3 linked regions of the Drosophila melanogaster genome follow. The protein of the gene in region 2 interacts with the protein of the main gene of each other region in a pairwise test. Each region holds a gene or a part of one and is shown on either strand. Other genes may lie near its edges. The genes, in order: Atg8b, Tbc1d15-17 and spartin.

Evidence for each region.
Region 1: the proteins of Tbc1d15-17 (region 2) and Atg8b interact in a two-hybrid assay, tested with the Drosophila melanogaster proteins (one large-scale study listed by BioGRID).
Region 3: the proteins of Tbc1d15-17 (region 2) and spartin interact in a two-hybrid assay, tested with the Drosophila melanogaster proteins (one large-scale study listed by BioGRID).

The regions. Positions count from the first base shown.
Region 1 is NT_033777.3:17,723,572-17,732,565, forward strand, and holds Atg8b (Autophagy-related 8b), read right to left. Parts: upstream 1,493-8,994; 5' UTR 1,340-1,492; coding exon 977-1,339; 3' UTR 839-976; downstream 1-838. Other genes in the region: Lgr1 (Leucine-rich repeat-containing G protein-coupled receptor 1), read left to right, coding at 4,812-5,135, 5,643-5,797, 5,886-5,960, 6,041-6,118, 6,596-6,670, 6,732-6,797, 6,861-6,929, 6,985-7,059 and 7 more.
Region 2 is NT_033779.5:203,365-214,836, forward strand, and holds Tbc1d15-17 (TBC1 domain family member 15/17), read left to right. Parts: upstream 1-3,814; 5' UTR 3,815-4,147; coding exon 4,148-4,267; intron 4,268-4,346; coding exon 4,347-5,244; intron 5,245-5,364; coding exon 5,365-6,494; 3' UTR 6,495-7,142; downstream 7,143-11,472. Other genes in the region: mRpL10 (mitochondrial ribosomal protein L10), read left to right, coding at 506-527, 629-1,353; CG11617 (uncharacterized protein), read right to left, coding at 1,680-1,848, 1,908-2,579, 2,637-2,680; kis (kismet), read right to left, coding at 8,821-11,472.
Region 3 is NT_033777.3:4,649,459-4,660,651, reverse strand, and holds spartin (spartin), read right to left. Parts: upstream 5,853-11,193; 5' UTR 5,573-5,852; intron 5,494-5,572; exon of another isoform or gene 5,382-5,493; intron 5,135-5,381; 5' UTR 5,120-5,134; coding exon 3,997-5,119; intron 3,750-3,996; coding exon 3,443-3,749; intron 3,072-3,442; coding exon 2,840-3,071; 3' UTR 2,667-2,839; downstream 1-2,666. Other genes in the region: Karybeta3 (karyopherin beta 3), read right to left, coding at 6,563-7,200, 7,316-8,669, 8,759-9,853, 9,918-10,067, 10,885-10,965. UniProt on the Drosophila melanogaster protein: During postembryonic development, functions with endocytic adapter Eps-15 in neurons to restrain synaptic growth, by inhibiting BMP signaling, and to control synaptic endocytosis. Required presynaptically for neuromuscular junction (NMJ) neurotransmission.

The sequences.
Region 1 (8,994 bases), on a different chromosome or scaffold from region 2:
CAAATTTCAAGCTAAATTAAAATGTATAACAGAATATTATTAAACGTCTATATCAATTCCGCTCCATTTCACAGTGAATTGTGTGTCGACATGTATCTGTGAAGTCTTGTTTAACCTTAGATATTCATTATTTGAGCTTCTATTTTTACAATCTTCACGTAAGTCATGTGAACTAATCTAATATACGCAGTTTGTAATCTCTGTCAAATGAACAACTTCTTCATTTGAAATATAATCAATTTGATTATTGAACTTTCCAATTTTTAAACGCGAGGGAGATCGAATTTATTTGTGAACCCATATATTTATATTTACTTTTTCCATATAACCATCTGGAAGTTTTCGAAGAATACAGCCCATGTAGATTAGTTTGATAAACAAAAGCTGTATATCAAAGGGTTTGGAAGTTGTGGGTGGGTGTCTGACGGAATAAAACAGAAATAAAATCAATTCGAAATTATGATATAAAAATTTCCTTCGCTAATCCATGGACACGGTGTCAACAAGTTTGTCTCACCACATTGGACTTGGCTTCATGCGACACATAAACCAACTTGTTGAATCTTATTGCACGCCTTTGGAGCACACTTTTGCCCGATTTAAACTGGTTTTATGTCTCATATTTTCATCAATTAGTGAACTTAAGCAAACCATACGGCTATCGAATATGTGAATTATAATTAAGCCGAAGCAGTGAGTCCACTAAATGTTTTTTCGAGCGCTTCAATTAACTTTTTGCGGCAAGACCAGGGGCAAGGGATTAGCGGATGCTATGCACCCACTTCCAACGCGGGGGAAGCACATACTGCGATAATTATTGTTTAGCCCAGCATGTGCCATGTGATGACGACGTTGTCTGCTTCTGGTTAGCTGGCTAGGAGCAGTCATTCTTTATTGAGCGAGTAGTGCCAATGGCAAAAAATGACAATTGAAACTCAACCGACCGCCAAAACGATTACGCGAGTCAAGCCCGCGTCTACTGCCGTCCATAGACGTTCTCATCGGTATAGGAAATGTAGAGGAAGTAGTCCTTGTCGAAGTGCTCCTGGTACAGTGCACCCATGGTGGCCGATGTCGGTGGGATCACATTGTTTACGAAGAAGAAGAGGGCGTCGTCGGGACGCAGATTGATACGCTTGCGGATGAGAAAGTAGAACTGGCCCACTGTCAGGTCCGCCGGCACCAGGTACTTCTTCTTGTCCAGCTCCGCGTAACGCGTCTTCGGCGCCTTTTCCACGATGACGGGCACACGGTCCGGATACTTGCGCCGGATCTTGTCGCCTTCGTTGCGGCGCTTGTCGAACGAGTGGTCCTTCTTGTACTGGTAGTTCATATCCATCTGGGCGGACTGGAATACGGTTCGAATCGAAACGGAGCGAAAAATGGGTTTTCGTTTTGGATTTGGTACGAAGGTCTTATGTAGCTGCCGGCCTGAGTTGCTGGGAACTATGTATGATTTATCACCTTTACTGCACAGATAGCTTTGGCAGATAGAAAAGTGCCTGCTCTTCTCGGATTTGAATGGGAAATGGGAGAGGGAAAATGTGATTGTAATCAGGTTTAGTATTCATTCCTATTCATGGAAAAGTATATCTATACCTTTAACCAATCAGGAACATACGAAATTTGTTGGAAATTCTAAATTAAAGAAGAACTACTTATATATGAGTGCCAAATTTCCCTAGGGGCTTTCATGGTGCTTACACACATATTTCTTGTATCGTTTTCATGCATCGCTCCAATTAATTAATTTGAAGTATCCCATTACCGTTTAAACTGTTAATTGTAATTGTGTCCTTGGAATCGCACTACGAATGTGCTGTGCAGGACTCCTCGGGCTAGAAACTTTCCATTCCATACTTCACTGGCGCATTTATTTTATATATTTTCATTGATTTAATTAAATATTTTGTAATACGACAAAAACTATATAAATCCCTGCAGTTGGCACCGCTCTATGAACCTTTTTTTGCAGGCCGCCCCAAGGCGACAATTGGCCCAAAGACGTTACAATCAAGGCTCCCAAGGCGCTGACCACAAGGGAGCTCAACAAGTGTATGTGCTGGGGGCGTACAACTGCGAAAGCTTTTACCTGTACCGACCGCAACGGCAACAATGCACGCAACACACGCAAAGCTGGAGCAGATGTGTTGTTGGGCTCCGTCGTCGCTGGCTGCTCGTCGCTCGGACAGCGCTGGAGCTCTCATTCCGCCATAGCTGCTGGAGCTGCTCGGTTGTTCGCGTTCGGTGCCTCGGCAGTTCAGTTTGTCGTTCTACTTCACAGTACTACTACTTGGAGCAGTTCGTGCATCGCTGGTTTCCGGTTGTGGCCTGGGCGTAATCCCTTGCAACAGGTGCACTTCAGTTCGGACGAAGACAACTGCAAAATACCTGGGATATTTACGCTTCCGGTGAGCAACATGTCCAAGAACGGACCCTTTCGATTCGTTAGAAAAAGGCGTGTGTGTGAAATAATCTTTCGGAAAATCCATTATAATTCAGAGTTTATACGCTCATGTGATGGTCGAAAAAATTGTTAGTCCCACGATCTCTCCTTTGATGTGTTGTGTGTGTTTGCTGAAAAACCAGGCCATAAAGTTATCAATTTTCATTTTGCCCAAAATTGATTCTTGATTTTAGTGGCGATTAGCCATAAACACGGGCAACTAATCTATGTGTGCCTGTGTACTGATTGTGTGCGGCAATTGCTAATTAAACTCACGGGTGCGAAACAAATCACCAATTGTATTCCACAATCCGCAAAAGTAATCGCCCTAATGGTGTTGCTTTAGCTCACCTAGAAATGTGCAGTCCAGAGCCCATTCGTTTGTGAGATGATCTGAGATTCGATAGAAACGTACGGATTTTGTGATGTGGTTACCGCATACCTGCTAATAAGTCCATGCTAATAGACTTCAAAAATCAGAGAGATTTCTTTGACTGGATAGATAGAAACGGCCATGCGCTTTCTAAACGCACAAAATACAATTTTAAAACAAATTAAAATGCACTTTGTTGGCTTGGAGACACACACACACGAGTTTTTGCGGTCAGCCAACTGGCAAAAGCTAATTTGATTTATAAAACAAATGCGTATCTGTTTTCTCCTTTTCTCGTGAAAAGTGCATAAGAAATAACAGAGCAATTAGGTAGGTAGGTAAAAATTGAAGCTTTTCTGGCCACTGAACTAGAACATTCTAATTTGATTTATATGAACAATATTGCGACTTGCGCCTAATAAACTCAAACTGACTTGTTTTACCATGTTGTTAATGCGGCAATTAACAATAATTCGTTAAAAACGACACCATAACCGTTTTTTTTTAGGGTCCAAATATGAGAGCATTGCGTTCACTGGACCAGAATCTTTGGCGTTCCTCCCACTTAATCGTGTCCGCCTGGTTTAATTACTCCAACTTGGTGTCCGCCATTCAAAGGGGAATTAGTTAAATGGAATGCAAGAGTCGTCAGAGTGGATTTAATCCAATTGAACGGCTGCTAACTATTCGGTGTTGATTCGAAATACAAATAATCAGCCAGAGCTGCCAATCAAGCGAAATATTGTGTAAATAATTGATTTAACTCATTTTCTTGGCTTTGTCCGATGGCCCAATGATAGATTTTGTATATTCAAATGATTTTTTTTCTATCATTTTCTAAGCAATGTGCGTCACATATTTGGATTTTCGTGATGATTTTTTTTTTGTGTCCAACTGCCATTGGAAAATCGGTTGCCTATTATCTGCTTCATGGCCAACGATTGCCATTGAATTCCGGCAGAGGTTCACGGTAACTTTCGCATTCCGCCGGAGGTCGCCCAGCCGTAGGTGCTAATTAACTCGGAATTCTACCTTTAACGGAGGGCCAGAGTTATAGCCAGATTGTGCATTCCGGGCGAAAGATCGACGCCATAAAGCTAGCTGGAGCACATGCCAGAACAAATATTGGCTAATTAAGAAACATGGTTGAAACATGGCGCACAGCTGTCGGCATTCTTTGAGGTTTCTGATAAGCGGCCAGAATTCAAACAGAAATAGTTGTGGTTCTGGGATATGGGCTATATGGGGATATATCCACCGAAAACTGAGCTCCCAGCCAATCTGGGTTTATGGCAGCACTAATTACACAAAACTGAATGTTTCAATTAGCGGGCGAGAACTAAAATTAAGCAATAAAACAGAGAAATGAAATTTTATAGGCCCCCAAAAAAACGTGACCCGAAATATTTACGCATACTGGTGTCTAAAAATAATACCATGGATTAAATATGAGCTTTATGCCTGCATATAGCATATGTTAATTAACGAACTCCATTCGATATTTGCTCAACTTCTGTTTGCCAGCCCCTTTTAGCCAAGTAAGTCAGTGTCCTCTCGACCATATTTCCTTGCCCATGGGCTTCACTGTAATTGCTTGCCCAAGAAATTTGCTGGCTGCTGTTCGCAACTGATTTCAATTTATTCGATTTGTCGCTGGCTTTTGTACGGTTTTGAAAATCAATCAAACACGCGTCCGCGCCTCACAACGTGACCGTCCAATTCGCGACATGCCAAATATCTGCGGATCAGCAGGGATGGCAGTGAATTGTTTGCTCGATGCTATTTAACTTTATCATCAGCTTGATGGCTTCATTAGACACTCACTGAAACGGCTCCTGGTCGTTCCCATTTCGTTCCGCACAGGCTACGGCTACAAGATGCAGACGCGCATCCAAAACTAATTAGAAGTGTTTACGGCTACGGATATTTGCAGAGGAAATGAGCCGAACATTATGTACCTAGGATCGCTGGACGGAAAAGACAGTGAGAGCCATGGAAAAGCACCCGAGTCTGTCCCAGCGGATGGGTACCACTTACCGTCCGAGGAAGGGCCTGAAGTGTCTGTCATTCGAGTTCCAGTGCCGCCTGCTTCTCCACCATCTGCTGCTAACGTCGCTGAGTGGCCGGCATTTCGTATACGCCACTAGTGCCGTCGGGGGGGCGCTGAGTGCCAACAACTGTCACGACATCCACCACGGATTCGATGTCTACCCCAATCTCACGGCCGTATCGCTGGCTCAATCGACGGACACGCCCCTGACCGCGACGATGCCACGGTCCGCCTGGAAGTGTTGTTGCTGGAATGCAAGTAATCAAGTAAGTGACTGATAGACGCACACTTTCTACTTAATTCTATATGTTTACCAGCTATGCCAGCGGCCTCCAAAGTCAACTGCAGAACTTGAAGGTTGGGTAAACAGTGAAACTAGAAGGCAGATCCGTTGGCTCCTGTTTTAGTTGAGTGTCCACAGCAACTTTAAGCCTTTAAGTTCCGAATGTCAGTTAATTGAAGTAGTCAAACAGCCAACATGGCATTTTCCACCGACGTTCATTGAGTTTTAGTTGTGATTTTGACTAAAATGAAGTTACCCACTAACTTTATTAATAACTACTAACAGCCAAAGTTCAAGATCACAGAATGTCAAAGGGTCGCCATCGATAGCAGGTCGTTGTAAGTGAAAGGCCTGCGCATTTATTTTTAGAATTATACTAGGAAACTAGGTTGAAATATGAGGTTAACACTGCTGGCTATATTATTTATTACTTTCCCAACTGCACGACTCCCACGCACCTGGATAAAAACATATTCCACTATTTCCGCAGGCGGAGGAGGTGGAGTGCCGCTGCGAGGGCGATGGACTGAATCGCGTACCGCAAACCCTGACGCTGCCCATACAGCGTCTAACTATCGCATCGGCGGGGCTGCCACGCCTACGCCACACGGGGCTGAAGGTCTACGGATCCACGTTGCTGGATGTGTGAGTTATATTGCGATGGATAGACATATCCACCGACATATCCATATCCTCATTCCATGCGTTTACTAATCGTCCTTTGGCTTGGCAGGGCCTTCACCGACTGCCTGCAGCTGGAACTGATACAGGATGGCGCTTTTGCTAATTTAACCCTATTGCGAACAATGTAAGGCTTGATTTTAAGTGGCGGCTTCAAGCGACCGACCGACTGACTGACTCACTTATTACCCTTTATTATCCTTTCAGCTACATCACCAACGCACCCAAGCTGACTTTCCTCTCGAAGGACGTATTCCTTGGCATTTCGGACACCGTGGACATTATGTGAGTCCAAATCTAGCTCTAGATGCCCCATCTGTGGGGCATTCATCATGGGGCCTTCGTAGGGTGGCGGCCAAGTTAATAAGCACACACAGCTGTGTGGTTTTTTTTTTCGGCCAGAAGATGGGGAATATGTTGTGTCATCGGTAAAAATAGCACTCAATGCCCATCTACGCGGATTTGTGCGCATTCCTACTTCAATATGTTGCCTAAATTGTCTGCTATGTCGAGCATTCCTCAAAAGCATTCTGGCTAAAAAAAAAAATGCAATTTAATGAACATGGTAGAAAAATTTATTTGTCCATCATGCAGAAATAAATATTCGATTTAATTGCTCTGCGCTAACGGCAAAATACAAATGTAGAACTATTTACTTTAAACTTTATTACACAATATTTTAATTAATCCTGCTGCGGGAAGGATGTGGGTGTGCTCATGAAGTTAACACAGTCTAACAATAGTGTCACTTTACTCCCACAGACGAATCATAAATAGTGGCCTGACCAGAGTTCCTGACTTGGGCCACCTGCCACCTCATAATATTCTGCAAATGATGTGAGTAGCAAAACCCAGCTTACCCTTTGTGGTACTAATATGTACCCTATTTTTTCCGCAGAGATCTCGATAACAATCAAATCACTCGGATAGACAGTAAATCTATAAAAGTAAAGACTGCCCAATTGTACGTATAAATGGTTTATTGCCACACATTCAAGTAATCTCTGAAGAGCTCTAATCTTTGCAGAATTTTGACAAACAATGAAATAAGCTACGTTGATGACTCCGCTTTCTTCGGCTCCAAGATAGCCAAACTGCAAGTTTAACCCAATTTCAAATAGTAAATAGTTATTAATCATGTGGCTTTTTAGATCGCTGAAGGAAAACAAAAAACTGCAAATGATGCATCCCAACGCATTCGATGGCATCATAGACATAACTGAACTGTAAGCTTGGAAATTGTATCTTTATTGCATTCGCAAGATTTAACCCTTTGTATTTGTATCTCCATAGCGATCTCTCCAGCACCTCGTTAGTTGGCCTTCCTTCTGCCGGACTTCAGAACATCGAAGCGTTGTACATTCAGAACACCCACACTTTAAAGACCATACCATCCATCTACAACTTCCGGGTGAGTAAAAGTCACTTTCTACCAAATAATTTAAGCCCAAAGTTGCGTTTTTTTTATAGAATCTGCAGAGGGCCTATCTCACCCACTCCTTCCACTGCTGCGCCTTCCAGTTTCCATCTCGGCACGATCCTCAGCGACACGCCCAGCGGATGCTGGAGATTGAGAAATGGCGGAAGCAGTGCAAAAGTGACTCCGGAACGCGAAAGGAGAGATCAACCTTGGATAACCCCTTCAATATGCCAGAAGATTTTGGTTCTTTCGGTGGCACCGACGACTCAGCAACAGATATAACCCCCATCACTTTCGCTTCCTTCGATTACATGGCCGATGACACCATGAACAAGGGCACTTTTCACGAAAAGATCATCCTGAATCCGGGTGATGACTCCTCGGCCGAACTTTGCGGCAATTTTACTTTCAGGTGAATTAATATTCTCTTCATTTAGCAACGTCCGGTACTAATAGGAGATATTATTCCCTGCAGAAAACCCAATATTGAATGCTATCCCATGCCCAATGATCTAAATCCTTGCGAGGATGTAATGGGCTATCAATGGCTGCGTATTTCCGTCTGGATTGTGGTGGCTCTGGCCGTCGTGGGCAACGTGGCTGTGCTGACAGTAATACTATCGATTAGGTAAGTCGTTACATTCCCATTTGGCCAAAGGCACTCAGAGAAACTGAGGGTCTAACAATTTCAAGGGTTCACCCTACGACGAATGCTTTTTACTGCTTTAAACTAGTTTGTTAAAGTGCCTATAATCTCTTACCTTTCCAGGCCGGAGTCGACGCCGGTGCCGCGATTTCTGATGTGCCACCTGGCCTTCGCCGACCTGTGCTTGGGCCTCTATCTGCTGCTGGTGGCCTGCATCGATGCGCATTCCATGGGGGAGTATTTCAATTTCGCCTACGATTGGCAGTACGGTGGGTGGTGCAGCTGATTTTGTGGTGCCGGCATGGATTTAGCTTACAATGTCTTCTCCATTTTCCCGCAGGGCTTGGCTGCAAAGTAGCCGGCTTTCTCACCGTGTTCGCCAGTCATTTGTCGGTGTTCACGCTGACCGTGATTACCATCGAGCGCTGGCTGGCAATCACGCAGGCCATGTACCTGAACCATCGCATCAAGTTGCGTCCTGCAGCGCTCATCATGCTGGGCGGCTGGATTTACTCGATGCTTATGTCCTCGCTGCCCCTGTTTGGCATAAGTAATTATTCGTCGACGAGGTGAGCAAGTAAATATGTCATTCTGCCCGAGCTTTGTGGTTCAAATGCTCGGCCCTCGTTCATTGCAGCATTTGCCTTCCGATGGAAAATCGCGATGTGTACGACACCATTTACCTGATTGCCATTCTGGGCTCCAACGGAGTGGCCTTCTCCATCATAGCCGTCTGCTATGCCCAGATCTATTTGTCCTTGGGTCGCGAGACACGGCAGGCCCACCAGAATAGCCCGGGCGAGTTGAGCGTTGCCAAGAAGATGGCCCTTTTGGTGAGTAGACTTCCAAACTGCAACTGTAAGGATGTAAACTTCTTCTACTACTACTACTAACTTCCTGTAGGTCTTTACAAACTTTGCGTGCTGGTCGCCTATTGCTTTCTTTGGACTCACCGCGTTGGCCGGATACCCACTGATTAATGTTACCAAGTCGAAGATATTGCTAGTCTTCTTCTATCCCTTGAATTCCTGCGCGGATCCCTATCTGTATGCCATATTGACGTCCCAGTATCGCCAGGATCTGTTCACCTTGTTG
Region 2 (11,472 bases):
ATATACATATATATATATAGATGTTAATGTTATAACTGTAATTAAATAAATTCTATACCTATGCAATCGTTGTGGGTTTTTTGGGGATTATTTTTACCAAGCTATATGCAGTGTGGAATCGATTAAAATCGGGAGCACATGTCCAAATCAGGATTAGCAAAAAAAATTACCTCGTCTTCTTATTCTCCTCTCGGCACATTTCCTATATCGTGTGAGAACCTTATAGGTTTAAAGTAAATAGTTCTCACACATGATTAAAATTGTAATATTTAATCAAACAAACTACTGACTATTTATTTTTTTTAATCTTATCTTTAAACTAAAATAAACTTAATTGTAACCGAAGAAGGGCTCGACGAGGTGGCAACGCTAGCCGGCGAAATATCGATGAAACCAAATATCTGGCTATCGATAAGAATGAATAAACATCGTTTTAGTAAAAATAAAGTTAAATAAGGAGAAGTTCTAGTTTTAGAGATTAGATACCTTAATACAGTTCTACAGCATGGCCACCCTGATACAAAGAAGTAAGTTGGACGGTTCATAGCGGTTGCCATTTTGAGCTTGGCCTGTTGTGTAACATGTAACATCTATGTACAAGCTTTTACTGATGTGTAAATGATTTTAGGCCTTTCCCTGGCTAAGAGCAGTACTCCTGCGCTACAATTTCTTCGCTTTAGGGGTAAGATCAATATACAGCGGCCGAAAGCACCGCACTACGAGCGGGCCCGGGTAGTCGCAGTCACGCAGCCGAAATATCCGGAACTCCCAAAAGCTAAGAGCTGCTTCAAAACGCGTGCGGAGCGCACGCAACAGCAGCAGGAGAATCCATACAACGAAATCATCGCACGAGAGGTGCGGAATTGGCTGGATCATTCCCGACTGGTTGCCTTCTTTCACTTAAGTTCTATAACCGCCGATGACATCTTCCGCGTGCGCGTTCAGCTTCACAAGCAGAACCTGCACCTCAAGTCCTACGGCAGCAAGATCATCGAACAGGCGGTGAAGAATACTCGATACGAAGCGATTGTGCCCCTGTTCCACTCCAATCATTGCATCGTCTTCTCACCGGACCCGGAAAAGACTGCCGCACTGCTACGAATCGTTCGCAGGGTGCCGCAAATGGTCCTGCTGGGAGGCATCGTGGAGGAGACCATGCTGAGTAGGAACCAGCTTGTGGCCTACGCTCAGATGCCCGGCCTGCACGCGGTCCAGGCACAACTTGTCCAGACCCTTAGTCAAGCACCTGGCCACCTTATTCAGCAACTGCAGGCCCATCAGAACAGTTTTGTGCAAGTTCTTGATGTCCATGCTAAAAACCAGATGAATGAGGAAACGCCAAAGTCTACGTAGAAGTCAAAAAAGTCAAGTTTGTTATATAACAAGAAATCAAAAATTATATAATTGTTTTTCACTCTAAACTAGCTGTAGTAATTCTTAACTCTCGGCGCAACCTGGTTTTCACGTTTACATGAATATGATCGTCGTAGTTTATCACATAATTTAAATGAGTGTAGCTAAAAGGTTTTAAACTTGAAGAAAATCATGTAACGAGTGAGTATTGTACTGTAAAGTTCGAAAATGAAAACCAGAAGAAGCCCACTTGACTAGATTGCACGTTTTAGCGGGGCCTGAAACTTCTGCTGGAATGATGGCGTCAGTTCCGGAGTCTTCAGTCTTTAGATATGGTGCCAGCGCTGCCTGCAGTTGAAGGCGAGGTTGGCTAAGGCCTCTGCTGCTTCCAGTTCGTCCTTATGATGAAGCATCCAGCGTCCACCACGACCAGCCCCAGACACATCTGTGGTAAAGATCGCTTGTCCACAACTGCTATTACTGCTAGCTTTCTGCCTAAAGTGAATCGATTTTTATTTATCAAAATTCACCATACCAGCCCCGAATTGCCTTACCTGGTCATATTCCACTCGATGTGATAATTGTTCCTGTCCGGTGTGAATTTTGCTGCACTTTCCAGCCACTTGTTGAGTTGCGTACCCTGTTGACTGGTCGTTTTTGCCGTGGAACTATCTCGCATATACTTTTCCATCATCTGATGCTTGTACTTGGTCTTACCCCCTGTTTGTGCTGATATCCGCTCGGTCAGACCTGCAGATCCTACAAACAATATCGGCTTGTATGGGGATGAAGGTTCATTATTGGCATTGCCATCGCTACCAGTACTGTGGCTGGAAAACTCTTCATTATCGTCGCCTTCGTCATCCTCCGCAGGACATGAGTGCATCTCCTCCTCCCAAATGCTATCCTCCGACGAGATGCTAAATTGTTCCACATTACCCCTTGCATTGTGATTGTAATTTTTGATCAGATGGCCCCAGGATTTCTTGGCTTTCTCTCGCTCCGAGTTTTTAAGCTTTCTTCGCCAGTTTGCAAACCAATTGCAAATCTGAGTGTAAGTAAGTCCAGTCTCTGCAGCAAGCTGTTTTTTCTCCTCCCTGCTAGGATAGGGATTCTCCCGGCGACGAATTAACCAGTCCTTTAGCATCCTCTTAATGTCGGGAGTAAATAATCTCTTTGTAGCTCGGGATGCTGGATGCAACTCCTCCTCTGGTGGCCAGGCTCGTCTGGAAAAGCACGCAAAAAGAATAACTACATCCCAAAAACAATTTTTCAAATCTTACCTGCTGTGTCGACGATTTCGTTTAGGCCGCGTTGACTTGTCCATGAGGTTCTGAAAACAAGGAAAGTAATTTAAAGAACTGACACAGAATCGCACACATCGCTATCTCTGTTAAAAATACCGTGTAAGTCAATTTAGTTTTTGAACTTTCAGTGGGTGGCGCTATTTCTGGCGCACCGATTTTCATGTTTTTTGCTCTGTGGATATTTCTTGCTCTCAAAATAACGAAATAAATATTTTTGTTTGCCCAATCTCAGAGCAGGAGAGCTCGAGAGCCAGATGGTGATATCACAACCATCATGAGAGTTTTTTACTTTTCGTAACAGAAGTAGAAATCTGTTAAGGGATTTTTTTTCGTCCACAACTGCTCGCAATAAGGTTGTTGTTCATGTTGTTCATTCGTTGATAAAATCCGCAAAAAAATAATGCCAATGACAAATAGTGCCAAAACTCACACAAGTTAAAATGTAAAGTTACTACATTATTAACGTCTGGAAACTTTGGGAAAAGTCCAATTACGTAGGAGATGCATCGCATTTGTTGACATTCTTAGGCCATTTTGCTAACATTAATTATATAACTCGAACTTAACGTTATAGACTTGTTTTTTCGCACCGAATTAAAATTGGAATATACGTATATGTATTGGAAAATTTAAGCTATTTTATTCTAGCTTAGCTCTAAAATGTTCTTCACCCACCTATATTTGGCTTATATTTTTTGATAATGTGTCATTATATTTTATAATTTTAAAATTGTCGAGTGCTTGTGCTTTGTCCGACGTTCTCGGGCGAACTAAACTCTGAGTTTTCAAAACACCCAGAAGAGGCAACGAAGATCATTATCAAATAAGACGGATTCATTTAACCTATTTACAAAATACAACTAGATATGTTTGCTTATTTTAAAATGATCTCTGTTCTCGGTGAAATCGACGAGAGTCGAGAGAAACTAAATTGATCGTGCTCTGTTGCTCTGCGAATTACTTGACTCTCGATTGGAAATGTTATGAAGTGATTATGCGGGGTAGGCGGACAGGATAAAATCATTACAAGTTTTTATACAAACTAATTATGAATTGAACTGCAGACTAGAGAGCAGAGCAAAGCGTACGCCGTTTCGAGGAATTCTAGAGATACGATATTTTTTGGTTCGCCTGGCCCCTTATCCAAGTAAATTATCATATGGTCCGCAAATTGCAAAAGACATAAAAAAGAAAGAGATTCCAGACCCTGCGAGAACGGAAACACGATGAAGTATTGGCTAATAGCAGTTTGCAGTTCTAATAGCAATTGACTAATTTCGCTGCCAGACTTCTTGTAAACTAAGGCTGCCACACCGATGGAAAAATGTCACGGAATGTGGCCATTTTTACCTCGGTGATAAAATACCCCCATACAAAACGCTGACATGTAAAATTTAGCACCTTCGTGGGACAATTGTTTATATCTGAAACGTAATAGCACAGGCTAATTTGAACTATAATACAAGAAGACATAATTGCCGGCAGCCATGGACGAATCGGTGCGATATGACCGCTGTCACCAGGTGCAGCTGGGCGTTTTCAACGAGTCGCAGTTGTCTTCTGTGGAGGAGGACGTGCAGAATCTGCCTCAGCAGGGAACGGGAAACGTAAGTGTCTCGTTTTTCACCTGACTCATGGATGTTCCTTCCTTACTGCCATTATGTTATTCCGTTACACGATCCAAAGATCCTCTTCACCCACGACGGCGTGCTTCTGAAGAAAGCCAGTGCGGAGCACATCGCGGATCTGAACACCAGCGGCTCCCTTTCCTTGGTGGAATATTCGCGATCCATCGCGGAAATGCCCCGTAGGAGACTGTTGCTCGAGTGGCAGCCCAATGACAGTATCATGATTGCGGACGACAGCCAGGATCAGGGAGACTGGGCGCTGGTAGACAGGATTTCCGGGCGAACACGCACCACATCCGAGTGCCGTGCCTTCAACACTAGACCCATTGAACCGAGCGGTGGAGCGACCACCCGTTCGCGAGTCATGCGTGCCCAACTGGAAGATTTGTCTTCTGTAGAGGTGCGCCATCGCGGACAGACGATCCGTTTTATGCGGAAAGGGGCTAATGGCGTCCACAGCGAGTTCTTTTTCCAGCATGGAAACGCAGACCTATTTGTGCGCTCCATGCGCGATCAGCACCTAATCGAGAACGCCGAGACTAGTCGCAGTGGCGGCGAGGTGTATGCCATATTGACCACCGAGAACCAAAAATTGAAAAAGACGTTTGCTGAACTTGACATTGGCCAGATTAAGGCAAGCCAATTGCCACGTGAGAGCTGGCTGCCCAACAAGCTGGCCGGAATCCTGGGCAACATTCCCGATTACGTACAGCCTCCGTTCCAGCGTTCGCCCAAATCTAGGCCGGGAGTCTTGATCTCTGGCGATCGGCAGACTTCACCGGACAATTATCAAATAATTGGGCTAAGTGGCAGCACCAATAGTGCCTGTTCCTCAAACGGACAGTCTCGTGGGGGCAGTGCAGAGAAGTCTCCCGCCGACAGCGAGCTGGAAACTCTTAATGCCCAGGACGAAAAAATAGTTAACAACTTGCCCGATCGCCAGCGGGTGGAGAGAGGTGGGTTGATATTAATTCTTAAAAGAGAGTTCTTGACACTTAAAAAGCTTAAGAATTTACTAATAGAAATAATTCTTAGGGTTCCGAACATGAGTTTATTAATATATTTTTAATGGACAGGTCATCCCCTAACCGAGACGCAGTGGCTAGAGTTTCAGACGCCCGACGGCCGAATTTCCGATAGCGCCCGAATCAAGGAGCTCATCTTCCGCGGCGGCGTCGTGCAGAGCCTGCGGCCAGAGGTTTGGAAGTTCCTTCTCAATTACTACCTTTGGTCGGATACTCATGTGGAGCGGATCGAGCGTCGTAAGCAAAAGTCTATTGAGTACTACAACATGAAGGCCCAGTGGCTTGCTATGACTACGACCCAGGAGGCGAATTTCTGTGGCTACCGGGAGCGCAAGTGCCAGATTGAAAAGGATGTGAAACGCACAGATCGCTCTTTGCAATTCTTTGCCGGAGAGGATAATCCCAATCTAACCCTTCTCCAGGGTATCCTTATGACATACGTGATGTATAACTTTGACCTTGGTTATGTTCAGGGTATGTCCGATCTGCTTGCGCCCATTTTGGAGATCCAGGTAAACGAAGTGGACACCTTCTGGTGCTTTGTGGGCTTCATGGAGCTGGTGTTTACCAACTTTGACATAGACCAGGCGGGCATGAAAACGCAGTTCGCCCAGATTCGTCGCCTTATTGAATTTGCCAATGCCCCGCTATTTAACTACATGAGATCCCACGACTCGGACAACATGTACTTCTGCTTCAGATGGCTCTTGGTTTGGTATAAGCGGGAGCTAAACAGCGAGGACGTTTTGAAATTATGGGAATGTCTGTGGACTCGGCTACCCTGCCCCAACTTCCACCTACTGTTTTCGGTGGCCATCCTCGATCAAGAGACTAGAGTGATCATCGACAGCCAGTACGAGTTCACAGAAATCCTGAAGCATGTAAACGAACTGTCTGGAAACATAGATGTTCAAAAAACCTTGCAGGTAGCTGAGGGTATCTATCTGCAGCTCAAGGGCTCTGAAACGTTGCCCAATGACATACGTAGCATCATTGGCGAACCACTCTTGCCAGCAGCCGCTGGTGAAGAGATTGATGGGGGCATGGTAGATGAGGAACCTACTTACTCGGACGATGGCTTCGACGAATTGGTGAAAGAGCTCACTCCCGAAGAGAAGGTTAGGCAGCAAGCTTTGCTTGAGGAGGCCTGCGAACGCTCCCTCTTCCTTCAGTTCCACTAATTAAAGTGGAATAAAAACGATGGACACCTGGAAAAAACAAAGCCAATAGCCCACAGAAAAGTATGCGCAAATTACGCTGCCCTTCAAGATGGTTGCCTAACTAGATTATATTTGCGGTTGCAAACTGTGGGTCGTATCTATTAATACTGTGGCTCATATAAATTCACTGTTACAAAAAAGATCAATCGAGAATCTGACTGTTTCTCCGTGTTTAACACGAGTCGCCCGTAAGCGTCCGCAAAAAAAATCATATTTTGGTAAACAAAACATTGGAGCAGTGTTAGCTTAGACTATAAGACTTAAAGTTTACTCTCGCATCGAAGCTAAGCGAGGCGGGCCAAGCGGATACACTGATTTATATATTGTATATTATACATTTGTACTTTTTTGTAATTATTGTAAGTTCTCTTCCTCACCTCAAAACCAAAACACCCTCATCCTATATTCGATCACCTCTAATTATATAAAGAAATTAGTTCTCGTGCCTGTGAACTCAAAACATTTTAGGTATCACTTTGCTTTATCGGACTTCAACACGCCTGTCTTTTTTTTTAAGTTTAGTCAATTACTGTGAATATACATCCGTATACAAGTACATTACAAATGCATAGCAAAAAGATCTAAAATACAACTCCAAAATTCACACATAAAGAACATTGCTTTTTATATGCTGTTTTAAGGATACATTTCGGAATTAATCCATCAAGAACTTGACTGCCATTTGTATTCGGGTGGCCATATCCTGGAACGGTACGGCGTGATCAAGGCAAATGCCTTGCGGAAAAGTTTCGTTAAGGGCATACGAATCGCAGACTTGACCAGGCTACCTTAACACGTCTAAAAATCGAGGAGCTCAGTAATAAATCGTATGTTAATGTAATTTTTAAAATTTATTTTTTATATATTTATTTATCATCAATATCAATAGTTGATGCTTGGGTGTTTCTTGCTGTTGTTGCTTCTTCTGGTTGATGTTGCTTTTGTTTGTTGTTCTGCAGTTATATAATAATTTTAATTACGAGTAATACTTACAAATTAAGTATGCAATATATGTGGTTGTTTGTTTTGCTTTTTTTTTGTGTGCCTTGTTAACGTCTCAAAATAAATTGTTCTCATAAAGTGCGGATCAAATTTGTCCATAATTCATTTACTCAGCTGAATAATTATACAAAATGACCTAAATATTGCATTGCTGCTCATCAAGCGTGCAAGATTCATATTCTCGGGCTTCTCAATTACAACAAAATTGATTTAATTAAAAAATTCTATTTTTCAATAAACACTTCCCACCTGTTAGTTACGCGCCAGGACTTGCATGTTGGTGTCGGTGGTTCATGGGACACACAAGTGTATAATAAAACATACGAATTACAAATACAAGAGTTTAAAATATACGCTTGAAAGATTGATTTGCGCCATTAGCATTCCATCCTTTCACATTTACTAATTACAGAATTAAAATGATCAAAATTACACGCAGCTTTCGGGGACACACATAAAGAATAGAGAGTTCAGTATACAACATATTGGGGATGGAAGTGTGGAAAATGGTTTAGTTTGAGGAGAATACATGGTGCCTTACTATATTAAAAACAGTTAAGCAATACGAGTCATTTTAAGATTATGAATTATGTACAGGTATTATATATGTATAGAGACTGCATGTGCCAGGACAGCGCCAGAAACCCAAGTATATGTGTCTCTACATTTTATGCATGGATAGTGTTTTGTTTAAACATTTTTCTGTCGCTTATCAATTATACGTTTTAGCAATAATTTAAACGGAAAATCCTCGTCGTGCAACAGCACTTTGTTTCTCTTGTTACAATTAAATTATAAGCGCTTTTTAATTATGTTCGTAATTATATAAATAATTAAGCAGCCAGAGGAAGGGACACTATTGACTTATCAAGCACCATATAAGCAGCAGATGAAACTTGAGTAAGTCATGGGTAAGGCGCTCTGCCCTCCAGTTCAGACGGAGTTGCAGCAGTGTCGAACTTTATGGCGTTGAGACAAACCCAAATCCGTTTTCTCCAAATTGGCTCCTAATCTCTATATATAGATTATATATGGTTCTTATACTTTACACAACTTTAAGCTTAAGGGATCTAGTGGTAACAGTTAACCTAGCATTTAAATTTCGCCTCGATCTCGTTTGCATCCGCATCTGCAGCTGGTTTCTCATCATCTTTCTGTTGTTGATTTTCTGCTCCGGTGACTTGCATGTATTGGCCGGATTGGCTTCTCCTCTACGCGATTTTCTCCGGCCCTTAGTATGGGCCGTGTCATTCTGCTAGCGCTGGCGCTCGGATCTGCGCAATACTCATTCGTTCCGTTCCTCCGCTCCCGATTCGCTTCCAGTTGAAAGATTAAGCGTACTGGCATCTGCCGAAGAGCGTGTATGACGAGTGGATCGCAACTCCCGTCGCTTCTCAGGCGGTTGTCCTTCCACGGAACCAGATCCTTGTTCGTTACCAGACCTCGGACGCTTCAAGCGATTGGAGGAACGTCGATTCTCTTCAGCCGCCGCTGCAGCCGCAGCAGCTGCAGAACTGGAGGATGAGCCACTCAGATTAGCAGCTGAAGTATTTTCAGCTGTATCCAGATCGTCCACGCTTCCGCCATGACTACTGCCTGGATTGGCAGCGGTAGGCTTTTTGAGTATGGGCTGTATAATTAGCTCATCGGCTTCTTCGTAGGGCGGCGGTAGTTTCGCGGCATCCGCTGCATTTGTTATGGTTAGCGAAATGCGCGACTCGGAGCGTTCGGAACGCTCGCTGCTAGTGCTGGCTCCACTGCTAATGGGAGGAGCTATGGTTATTGTAGTTTGACTGGGCAGATTAGCTGCCAGTCCCGCAGCAGCTGCTGAACTGGAAGAGGACCCCGATCCGCCTCCAGAGGCATTAAGGGGAGTCAATGTAACTTTATCCTGTTCCGCAGTCATGGGCGCTGGTGTAGAGCTGCTACTGGAACTGCTTCCGCCTCTTAGACTCTTTTCTATGCTACTCATGCTGGCACCAAGATTAAGGGGTAAGCCTGCCGCAAGGGCGGCCAATTCCTCCTTTGTGGGGTGTAAATCCCCACGTGCTCGTTTGGATAGCGCCTTCTGCTGTTGTTGATGCTGTTGCTCTGCGTCCAAAGCTGCAGCATACGCAGCTGCTGCTGCGTTTGCTGCACTAGAGGATGCAGATGATCCTCCCGCCGAGGATGTGGGTATCAACGAGATTCCTGATCCCAGACCTAAGGTCTTGGTATAATAGTCCATCTGTTGCTTAAAGGCATCCTGTTCACGCTGCCGTTTCGAAGAAGAGTGGCTAGTGCTTCCTGAGGCAGAAGAACCACCACCTCCAGCAGAGCCACCAGTTAAGCCAGCCAAACTAGCTAATGAACCTGGACCACTAAGAGGAAGGGATCCCCCCGCAGCCGCCATTGCCTGTGCAGCCATTTCAGCTAAAAAGGCCTGTGGGAAATCGCTGGACATGCCAGGAATTTGTGGTAATTGAGCTGCCGCTGCTGTCGCAGCTGCTTTCGAGCTCTTACTAGAGGAAGTGGATGTTCCCGTATTTGATCCGGATGTTGATGGCATTTTGCCTTGCGAGAAAGCTTGAAGCGCGGCTAAATCAGTTGGCAGAGCTCCTCGGGCTAAACTTTCTAACCACTTTTGCTGTTCCTTGGCCTGAACGTTAGCTTCATTTGCGGCTTGGCTGCTTCTCTTGCTTGTAGATGTGTTACCTCCACCAGAAGAGCTCGGCGTTCCTGAAAGAGGCGGCATTCCCAGGGAGCTCATCAGACGTGTTGCCTGCGCCAAATCCATGTTGCTCATACGGCTCAAGGACTCGAGAAGATGCGGATCCGCTCCTGGCATAAGTAGACTACTGAGTTGAGCCATGTCTGCTGCTGTGGGTGTGGTTTGGGACTGATTTCTGCTGCTTGATTGCCTGCCACGTCCGGATCCTGATGCTGAAGTTGAAGGCGTGGTAACTGTGCTAGCGCCACCGCCCATGCTGGCCATAGCATTCATCAGACTTGCTGCTGAGTTGGCAGATGCTGTGGTATTCCTGGACTGACTGGATTTTGATTGCGACTGATGCGACTTAGACTGCGTGGAGCTCGTATTTGAGGCCGATGAAGTAGCTCCATTTAGCAGGTTATACTGCTGAGCCAACTGATCGTATGCGGAACCAAGTCCACTAGATCCAAGGGAATACGGATTCAGGCCACCTAGTCCCATGGGCGGATACAGCAATGATGGATTCGGAAATAGGAATGGAAATCCGGCCGCCAATTGTGATGCAGAAGCAGCTGCGTTCTTTCCCCCTGATGCGCCAGATCCTCCAGTGCTTGCGCTGATAGCAGCTGCCAATTGAGCAGCTTCATTTTGTGCCTGTTGTTGCTGTTGCTGCTGCTTCTTTTTACTAGCCGAAGAGGATGACGAAGTGGCGGATGATTGCGACTGCGCCTGGCTCTTGCCGGAGCCCGCTCCTCCGGATGCACCAGTTAATCCGCCAAGAGTTGGCCCGGCAGCAGCCATGAGCGCAGCCAGCGACTGAGTGTCCATCCCTGCAAGATTACCCAATCCTCCCATTCCTGCCAAACTGGCAAATAGGTTCATGTTGTTCAGGTTACCTAGTCCAGGAATATTACCCATTCCGGGCATTCCTCCAAAAGACATGGATAGCAACGGATTTTTGGGATCAAATGCAGCAAGAGGATTCTTGGGATCAAATGCGCCCAGTCCAGGAAGATTTGCTAACAGACTGGGATTCAGACCCGCTAAGGAGCCAAATTGTAAGGCAGCTTGATCCAGTGCAGCTGATGCCGCAGTTTGTTGGCGGGAATTTTTCTTTGAGCTGCCTGAGTTCCCTCCCGCTTGCGATTGAGCTGCAGATGATTGCTGTTGGGTGTGGGACGATGATGAGGTGCTACTCAAATTAGATAATGGACGACCACCATGTGATTTCACTGCCGAGGAGCC
Region 3 (11,193 bases), on a different chromosome or scaffold from region 2:
CAATCCTACTTTTTGATATCCGTTAGGAAAGATAGGAAAGATATTAGTCTTCATTTTTCGAATGGACCTTTTTTTATGTAAACTTCAAGCCAATAGTTACAAATTGCATAAATAAGCACGTTACTAAGACAATTGGCTACCTTTTTACACTTTTCTTTTCTACACTTTTTACGGTTTCAAAATGCAGATTTTGAAATCACTTATTCACTTATTATTTACTTTATTCATTGTGCAGAAGCTGAAAACACTTACCAACAAAATTCGAAGCTCTGTTCGTTGCTGGCACAGATGCTGTTTTTTACACAGTTGTTTTTCGGCGTTCAATTACATATATAAAAACAATTCAAAAGAATGGCGAGTCAATTGGAACAGCCACTGCAGAGTCCTAAAGTTGTTGTTGTTGTTGTTTGGAGCTGCTTTTCGGGAACAGGCCAAAAATCATTAGAAATTTCTATACTCGAGCGAGCAACACGTACACACGCACACATACGCACTCGCACACAGAGGCGCACCCACACACACTAATAAACGCGGGCCAGAAAATAAAACGGGAAACGTGTTTGCTTGTGTACTGTTGTTAGAACTGTTGTTGTTGCTGCGTTCGCAGTTGGCTGTTTACGGCAGTCGTTGTTGTTTATACAGGTTGTACATATGTATTTGTGAGCGAGAAAAACAGTTTTCCGCCGCGCCGTAATTGCAACTACTCAGCTTGGTGGATTGGACTCCCGTCAAAATCGGAAATAAAAGGCACTACCCACCCACATACACACACAAACACACTTCTGCCAACTCTCCTCCCTCAACCGCACAAGCGCCGCAGTTGCACCTCGACTGAATTCACGATTTTACACTGCACAGGTGCAGTGCTGCGCAAAACAAAACGCAAGACTCTCGGATCCGAACTCCGTGGCTTTGGGCTTTTCCTGCCTTATTTCCCGTGCGCACATATGTACACATTCACATGTATTCATGTACCAAGGGGCGAAATCACGTCCGAGCGGGGAATTATGTGCTTGCGTGCCGCGCTAAACTCTTAGCCACCTCCTTTTGGCCGAGTTCAAAACGTACTGCCGAGCGTAGGAATTTGTGGATATAAAAATGGGGCGGAGTGTGGCCAGCTGAATCAGTTGAGGTGGGTCGAATCGGACTACGAGCGGTATTTTTATCTGTCCGCAGGCAAGGTCTCTCTGTACGCTCTTACGTTTTTTGTTACGTTGTTCGGCGAAAAGCCTTCAAAATAATTAACAACTTTCTCGGTTTTTGAATTAGTACGTAAAGTATTGCATACAAAAATCAACGAGACGCTGATGGATCAATCTATGAAGCTTTGGGATCAAATAATATATAATATTATATAATGATATATGGCGGAGTTTAAAACCAAACCAATTTCAAGATAATTTTTTATTGCGCGTCCCGAAAGTATGCTACACCCATTCCTTTTTTTTAAATTTATTTATTTAGAAGCGATGAATCCATACAATGCAGCAATAGCAACATAACAGCGCAATTAACATATAAATGATAAAACCAAACCTCTCACTAATCATGTGAGGATTTAAACACCCATTCCTATTTTCAGAATGGAACTCGCACGAGAGCTAACGTTTGAAAACAAATGTATTCATTTACTTTACTTTTTTTATATATCGACTGGTAATTCTTAAGAATAAATCTCCACCCTGTGATGCTAAGATACAATATAATTATGTACGGATTCTTTTTAATAAATATATATAAAAAAATGTATTCATATGATTTTGACAATAATATGAGTATACATATTCCTATATTCTCCTAATATAAATATTAATAGGATAAAAGGACTATAATAAGGTAAATGTAAATATAGTCTAGGAGAAAGTTTTACCAACAATAGGGGTTATAGTCATTCATGTTATGTTATGTTCTGATTCGGGAGCTGAACCCTAACTAAATATATGGGCTCCTTGATATATGACACTTAGGACCTATAGAATATCACATTCTATATCTCGTGTATAAAACAAAACGTGAAGTTTTACCATATTTCGCCAAAGTATATATGTGGGGTTCATCGCTCGTTATATAAATTCCTAACTTGTTTATATAAAATTTGACTCGTTCCGCAAAGTTTTTGCTTGATCAGAGTGCTTTTTAAGATAGGAAAAAAGAATAAGGAATAAGATAGCTATATAGAGTCTTAGGAAATGGTTAGGAAATAATGCAAATAACATAACCTTTTCAACAATATAAGATTCAAAAGTCTGTAACTTCAGGCGATCGGAAGCTATGACAGTACTTACGAGGATTTAAAGCCGCTAAATTAGACGGCTTTTTATTGATCGTCAATCTAAAGATACTTAGATCAACATTTGTTCACAATTTACATGGTACGTTCATACTAAATTCCTTGCTAAAATTGTTAATTCTTTTAAATTAGTGAAAGAGGACTGAGTTGTGTATCAAAAATCAGGACATTTTAATTTAAAAACAAAAGATACCCGATACTTAGCGGTTGGAGTGCTAGGAAGCTAGAATTTAGGTTATACAAATATACAAAGTGAATTAAACATTTTTCTTTTTAATACTTTCTAGCTTCGGTTTATCTACAAATACAAAAGTAAAGCATTTTTGAACACTAAAATAAGGTTTTGATGCAAAATCTTTCGAAATATCTTTTTTATGTGTTATTGAACATAATATTTATTTATATTTTTTCTTTTAATTAGAAGCTATAAATGGCATATAAATATTTCAATATAATAATAATAATAATAATAATAATAATAATAATAATAATAATAATAATAATAATAATAATAATAATAACATGTGATAAATTCCTTTGGTTTTCCCGCTATTCCTTCAAAGCTCGAAGATCCGGATAAAGAGATCCGGCATTAATATAATGAGATTCCGATTTGCGTAAGTCTCGCTTGTAGTCACTGACCACAGCTTCTCCTGTTCGTTTGACCATTTTCTTGGCAATGCCCTTCGGGGTTATGTAGTTCACGTTCTGACTGACCACGAAAACGTTGCCCACCGTGTCAAAGGTGCCACTAGCCAGATTCCCCGTCTGCTGGCCATATCTGAAATAGCAAATAAATATATGTAAATATATGAAATATTAAAAATGCCCGCACTATATGTTTTTCTTTTTCGAAGGCGAAAGAAACCCAAAATGAATATCTAGATCTTAGTAGACCTTTAGTAGCATTACATATTTGAGACGATTCACAACAAGTTATAAAACTTTTCTTTGTGTGCAAGCTTGAGTAACATTTCCCGATCCTTGATCATTTTTGCGATCCTCTGCACATTGCGCATAACTTAAATCTCAGATATATTTAAATTGAATAAACCGTTGCCAGCCTAAGTGATTACTTTCAATTCGGACGAAAATTCGTAATGACATCTGTTACAAAACTGCATAAGCATTAAGAAGCCAAAGCCAACCCACTTGTGTTCGATTATCTTGACGGAGTTTTCACTGAGGCTGGAGCCTAGGATCTTGGCGGAAGTCTCGAGGCCATCGAATACGGTGCTCACTCCTTCCACGGCTCCTGCCGCGATGGTCATGGCGCCCTCCATGGTGCTATTAGCCTCGCTGGTGTCGTAGCCAAATCCCTTCTGCAGCAGTTTAGAGCCTTGCTCCTGAATGTGGGGAGCCAGGTAGCGGCCGACTGCCATTGAAGCAGTGCCCACCTTTCCAGCTATCCATCCTGTCATTCCGGCTGCGGCGTGCGTCACTTTTTGGGCCACCTCAACTATAATGAACAAAAGGTTACAACATAAGATACATTAGATCTATCTTATATGTAATCTGCACATTTCCAAACCATTGATTAACATGATTATCAAACACAAGCACAAACTCCGATCGAGGTGGAAGTGTAGTGACGATCACATCTTCGACTTCGAATCTTATCTTCTAATTTTATCGTTACATGCTCATTCGGAAGCTACCATACTTCCGCCCTAAATACAGCTCTTCCCTATTTGGAACTAACTCACCTGAAGTTTGGACGGAGCTGGGCACCTGAGCATCCATCGAGGCTGGCGTCATCTTGGAAATGATATACGGAGTACTCCTAAGCATAAAGCCTCCTGTCTTCTCGGCGCCCCGTACCAGGTTACTAGCAATGAAATCAGCCGCACTTACAATGTGTCTGGACACCTGCTCCGACCCGGAAACGGTATCTGAAGCTAGGCCAGCACGTTGGGAGGTCGGCGATTTCAGCTGCACTACCGTGCCAGCGAGTACGGCCTCCAACAGGTCAAGAAAGAACTGCTGAAGATCCTCCAGTTCGTCCTCCGTGCGCGATGTCTGGCCCTCCTTCGTTAGCATCAAACCAAATGCATTGCCCGGCTGCTGGCACTCCATATCAGGAAAAATAAAGGCTCCGTACTCTGTTTGGTAGCAGTTTGTGATCGAGGGAACCAGGGGGTAAAGCCAAATCCCTGCAGTCCCCTCATTTGGCATGGAGCACTGAATGAAGTAGATGCCACTGAGGTACTTCCATTTGCCACCCACGGTGCACATTACCAATGACATAGTTGACGAGCCGCTTATGGTGGTTACTGATCCACTGGCTTCGATTCGGTACATTTTGACCTGTGCACGGAAGAGCTCATCGAGCAAGACTTTGGCGTCCCGAACAGCCAAGAGCTCCCGCAAGCCGGCAGCGAGCTCTCTGTAGGTTTTTGGTGCTCCGCTAGCATTGGCTATGCCATATTGCGTGGAGGGGTTTTCCGCCAGCAACGGCGGCCTTTTTGTATCCATCTCTGCTCGACTTTCCTCCGTGGCCTCCACGGCTGAATCATCAATGGATTGTTTCTGGGATCGCAGAACTTTGAGGCGGTATCTCAATTCCGTTTCGGCGCTCTTGAGCTTTTGGATCAGCGCACAGGCGTCGTTCCACTCCGCCTGCACGGTGTCGATCTTGTTGGGAAGACCTACTGGAATGCCGAAGGTGTCCTCTATCATACGCAGGGCCAGCTCATAGGCCACAATGGCCTGGCCGGGGGATTCCTGCTCCTCGTGACTTACGGCCAGGTCCACCTGAGTCATGGCCGCTTTGTAGGCTGTTCTGATGCCAGCATAGGCCTCCAGGAATTCGCTTTCCTCCTCCGCCATCGCGGCCTTTAATACCTAAGAAACAGCACAGAAACATTAGATACTATACAAAAAACCAAAGCCCTCAAAACTTTAGTATGTAGAACTAAGAATCTATTAAAGTCAATGACTATGGTTATTTATGGTTTAGTTAGTATACATGTTCTATGTGCTGTCTTTATTCTTATGAATCCCCCTTTCGCAAAGTTCTGTGTAAGTCTTATAGTGCAAATTACTACATATTTTGTTAATATTCGTGAGATTTAAGATATTGTAAACGAACTTGCTGGCAGAGATACATCCCGACGAGGCGGGCAACCGCGACCAACTAAAAGGGTGACCAAAATGCGTCACCAAAGTGGGAATGACGCGCTTTTACATCTTCTCCTGCAGCTGCTCTAAATTGAACTGTGGCCAACGAAACCGCATCCGCCCTTCCGCTGCACTCACCGTCTACCTGTTGCACTCACTCACCTTTGGGTTTTGGTTTCGTCTGATTCTGAGCGTTTAATCTGCACTTTGCCCACCAAGTCACCTAATGATTTAGAAAGCAAACAGAGAAACGCTCTCTTTCGCTATTTTCTCACTAATTTTACGAATTATTTTCTGCTCCTGTTTAGTCGCACACCTTTAAAGTGAGAATATCGTTTGCCTAATATCACTTAAATTCGTAAATAACATGTTAAAATGTGTGTTTTCCATTCGAGTTGAATGTTCCAAGTTTTTCCATCTTTGTTTTGATTTGCTTACTTTCCATTGCGAATCAGATCAGCTGTTTAGGAGGCCTCTGCATGTTCACTGCCACAGACAGAGTTGCCACAACGACTTTTGAAAAGTCTTTTGCGGGAATCGAATTTGAAATTGAATGAATGGTTAATAATAAAAAGCAATACTAAAACATAAGCTCGTGGCAATTAAAATATCGATTTACTTGTTATTTATTTCGTTTTTATCATGTTTAAAATACAATAAATGTTATTCCTTTAAATATATTTGTCGATCCTGGTTTGAATGCACAAAATTATATTTCGTTCGATTCGGACAACGTTTACATCCTGTTTTCCCCGCAGGGAGAGGCGGCCGTTAGGGCCGTATATACACACATATGTATTAAACATATGAAAATTTGAGTAACGAAAATATTCTATTGGAATTTGGGTGTGATTGGGATGGCATTTGGATCGCATCCATACAACATATCAAATTCTAACGAGGCAGACTTTTGTCTTCGGGAGAAGAGTTTTGATTAAAATCACAATATGTATAGAATTATATACCCGGATAACTCTATTGTACACATAAATGTATATCTGTATAAATGGATATCTATGTGTTAAACATATACTTCAAAATTTCGGTAAGATGAAAAATAATGATAACGAGTAGCTGAAGCATCCATCGTTCCTTTCTTGGCTTGGTCGACATGAATGGACTTGGTCTGAAGAGGATTGGGATTGCGATATCTTAGGCGGGAGCCACGTTTGCCAGCTCCCGGTAGGCATCCTGCAGCGCCTGCTGCTGTTCCGGGCTCAAGGTGCTGGCACAAGCAGCCATTACCTCCGGATTCGATTCCACTTGTTTGACGATAGTGAGCATACGAGTGCCGGTGGCGGACTGCGCCTCAACCACCTTGGTGCAGAAGGATTCAGCGATGATGGAGACAATGCGCGGCAGATTGCCGTTGTTTGCCCCAAGAATGACCGGATGGTTGCCTTCAATCAAGTCGCATAGGTAGCCATAGATGTGGGCGGCTTCTTCCGAATCCTCGGACACCGGCAGCCATGAGAACCAAACACCGATCAGCTCGTCCACGTTGCTCAGCGCCGAGTTGTTGTACTTGAGGATCTTAGCAAACGCCGAGATCGCATTCTCTGTCGGACTGATGTTCTCGATTTCGCGGGCTTTGGGATCGTTGATGACCTGCACCAGCAGTGGAATGATCTGGGCGCATGTATGCGCAAACTGCTCACCAGCGAATTGGCCGAGCACCCCGCATCCGTAGGCAGCCGCCTGGCGCACTTCTGGGGCCTTATCGCACACGTACTGGACGAGGGCTGGCGTAAAGATCTGCTGGTATGGAGCACAAGCGGGGCCACAAAATTCTGTAGGTAAATGAGAATACAAGTCTTTAGTTTTATGGTGGCACAAATGATTTGATGTTTGAAGGTATCGGCGGTACTATTGAACTGCAAAACTCAATTAAGAAAACCAACTCACCGATCAGATCATCGAACACGCATAAGCCCCACTGCCGATCAGCTACAGGTCGGCTGGGCTCCAGTAGCTTGACAAAGTGCGGAGCCACCTGTTCAAAGGCGGGTAAGAACTGAGCCTTGTTGGTCTGGAAAAGGGCGTGTGTAATGTCCACGATTTTGGAAAGGATGTAAACATCTGTGTCGTCCTGCTCGGCCAGCTCCTCCTCCACACCGTCGTCGTAGTCTTCCTCATTGCGAGCCGCCAAACGCTTGTCAGCACGCTCGAAATGCTCCAGAACATACTTGTTTATAATCTCGAGAACTTGTTTCATGGCATCCTCGTTAAGGCAATTCGGACCCAATGTCTCAATGCATTTTGCCAGCGAATTCAGCAGCTCCGACTGCACGTCTGGCTCCGGTTCCGTGACGATTACCTTGAGCAGCTCCGGACAAATGAACATCCACATGCCCTCCAGATACTGTGGACCCTTAATTTTTGCGCAGTCGAGAAGGTAAGGCAGCGACTCAGCAGCAGCTGTGCGGACACCGTCGTGGAAGTAGAACTTAAGCATGGGCAGCATTTGACGCACCACGTCCTCAGCGTATTCGGCAAATCCTTCCTTTAGTTCCCTAGCATAACAAACCAGCATCTCACAGGCCGAAGCCTTGTCGTCCATGCCAGCCGTGCGAATGGCGAAGTTCTGCTGCTCGCCAAGATTAATGAAAGACCAGTCCACATCACCGTCGATGTCCTCCACCTCGTCGTTGTCCAGCATCGCCACCTCAGGCTTCATGGTGGCCGTTCGCATCACTGGTCCCATAACGAGGGGCAGATATTGCTCAAATTGCTTGCCAAGGATTTTGCACATACGTGCCCAGGCAGTGATGAGATAGGAGGTCTGCGGATCATCATCAGCTAGTTCCCCCCCCTCGGTGTGATTGACCAGCAGCATATCCATGACTTCTCCGGCATCACCAATAAACTTCTCCCGCCCCACCGCCAATCCTATCAAGCTCACGCATTCAATGGTCTTGCCGCGAAGCATGCGGAGATCATCCGAGTTGGCGTTCTGGATGATGAACTTAAGGCATGGCATTAGGCGATCGTAGTAGGCCACAAATTCCGATTCGCAGGTGTCTGCAACCGATGCAATTGTCGTCACTACCTGCTCCAGTACCAGCTTGTTTCCCTTCTCCACCAGCTCCTTGAACTTCGAGTTCAGAATAGTCTCCAGCTTGGCCATGATCCCGTCCAGGTAGCGTGTCAATATATTTTTCGGGCAGTCCTCGCTGAAGTTCACCAGAGCGGCACCTGCGTGTGCTTGCACTCGCGGATTTTCCACGTCATCCAAAAGAGACAAGAGGCCGGGAATCACCTGGCGAAACAAGGGAAAATTGTTAAGCATTTAATTAATTTCAATTGCTTATTAGAAAGTTGATAAAGCAGTTGCAATTTAAGACTCACCTGGCTGTGGAACTTCTTCTCGAAGGTCTGTGCAAAGTCGGTGGACATTTGGCCAATGGCGTTGCAAGCGGCGTATCGAACGCGAGGATGAGGATCGCTCAGGAAGTTCAGGACTCCGGACATTACCTCATCTAGGATGGCTTCCATCTGCTTGTGACAACCCTCACCGATGGCCGAGATGGCCATGAGGGCTGCGAAGCGATGTTTCCAATCGGCATGACCCAACATAACCGGCAGAGCGTTCATTACGAGCGGAAGCACAATCTTTCCTCCCAATCCACAGGCGAGGCGATCCAGCGAGGACTCGGCGATCACGTTGTTGTCGCTGTGATCGTCATCATCGACCACGTCGGCGGTGGACCAGTTCTCGTCATCATCCAAATCCGTCATCATATGGAGAATCAGCGGGATCAGGGCCACGATATACTTGTCCGCTCGCTTGCGTATCATCGACGGGGCGTTCTCGGCGAGCGACACCATAACTTCCAACACTAGGTGACGCCAGCTGTCCTCAAAGTCCTGCGAGCTGAAAACCTTCATGCAGACCTCAAAAATGAACTCCAGCTGGGGACGCAGGAACTTCGGGCAATTCTCGGTCATCTCAATCAGGAGCTTTAGCAGACTCTGATCATCCTGGGCCTCGATGGTCTCGCCAGTGATGTGGATCATGCGGGGCAGCATATCAGCGAAGTGCTTGTGGATGGCCGTCTCGTTCTCCTTGTCGTGGTAGAGGATGAAGGCTCCGACGGCTCGCACGGCCTGTACTCGGACCTCCGGATCGGATCCAGCGTCCATGCTCTTGGCAAGCATCTGCTTGATCAGATCAATGTACTGAGCTTCCTGGTTTCCAAATATGGAAGGCACACTAGAGAAGATCCGCAGTGCCGATTCCTGCAGCTGCGGCGTAGGCGAGTTAGCGCATTGAAAGAGAAACTGCAAGATGTCGGGCCACTGGTTGTTGCAGTCCTCGTCGATCAGATTCCTGGCCACCTCGGCAACTACCTCGCAAATCTTGCGACGCAGCTGCGGCGTCACCTCCTGCTGCACGGCCAAAAGGATCTGCTGAAGCAATTGGTTCTGGGATTCAGCTGGAAGCTGCAAATGAGGTAATATTAGAAAGATGCTCAGAGGGCGATTCTCTGCGCGGCTTTATGCCTACCCCTTTGTAGAAATCAAAGAACTCGGTGGTAAACAGGCGGCGCAGCAACACGGCGGCCATCTGTCGAGCCTCCTCCGACTGCTGGCCATTTTGGATGTTGCCCAGGAGATGCGTCACCTTCAGCTCTCTTGAAAGATTGTTGTATGCTTCCTGGAATTAAAAATGGTTTTTGTACATATCCATTCGATGTAATTTTAAAATATATAAATATTATTTATATATGTAAATACAATTCCACCTTGACAACATTGGGCTCTGAAACAATTTAAAACGGATCTCGATTATTTCCATCTCTCAAGTGAAAAGCAAAGTCACAATTCTGAATAGGTATTTTTAGCAATCCAGGTGGAACTTTGGGTGGAAGCGGTACCATGCTTGCCATCTGCCCAAGGTCAACAGAGTGGGTGGGGTTTTCTGGCTGGTGTGGCGTGGGCGTGGCGGTGCCATGTGGCGCCGGAGCGAGACTTCGGAATCCGAGTGGCTTATCAACCGACAGATTGCATTTCTGGAACCGTGTGTCATGGATTTCGCACCTGCTCTTTGTTTCCGTTTGCGGCGGCAATCGGTAAACCGAATTGCCTACTACGAATTCTAATGGAAAATCATGTGGCGGCCATGCAAATTGCACAATTCGCTTCCATTTTGCTTTGTTTGCTTGCTTCGCACCGTCTGTCCGTCGGCTCTCCCTCGCACACATGCGAATGTCGGGGCAAAGCGGAGGGCGAAAACACGTTTTGTACGATGAATCAGATTCGTCTGAAATTTCGGCCGTAGGATTCGCACACCGACGTTTGTTCGTGTGTATACATACATATGTGCCGGGAGAAGATCTTATTGATGGCAGTCCGCCGTATATTTTTGCTCATGTGCAACCCATTGCGGGAATTGCGCATCGAAATTTCGAGGCGACGGCAATACGCTCTGCAAGATCCCCTGCCACGCCGTAATCGAGAATATTGGGACTCACCTCCGCCTGCTGGCGAACATCGTTGTCCGTGGACAAGAGGGAGGCCAGAAGCTGCTGGAAATGGGCCTGATCCGCTGCCATCTTATCCTGTCTGGTTCAAATGAATCGAAACACGGGAACTCGTGGAAACCACGATTTTCACTTCAGTCTTCACGCAACGGCGGCCGCCTAAAAAGAGCAGAACGGAACAACTGGCTGGGTTGCCAAGGTTCGCAAACAAGCGCACTGCACTCTTGGTCAGTTTTCGTGATTGCCGTGAATCTTGGGATGGTTGGTCTTTGGTGGGTGCTGCTGCTGCGCGGCCTATCC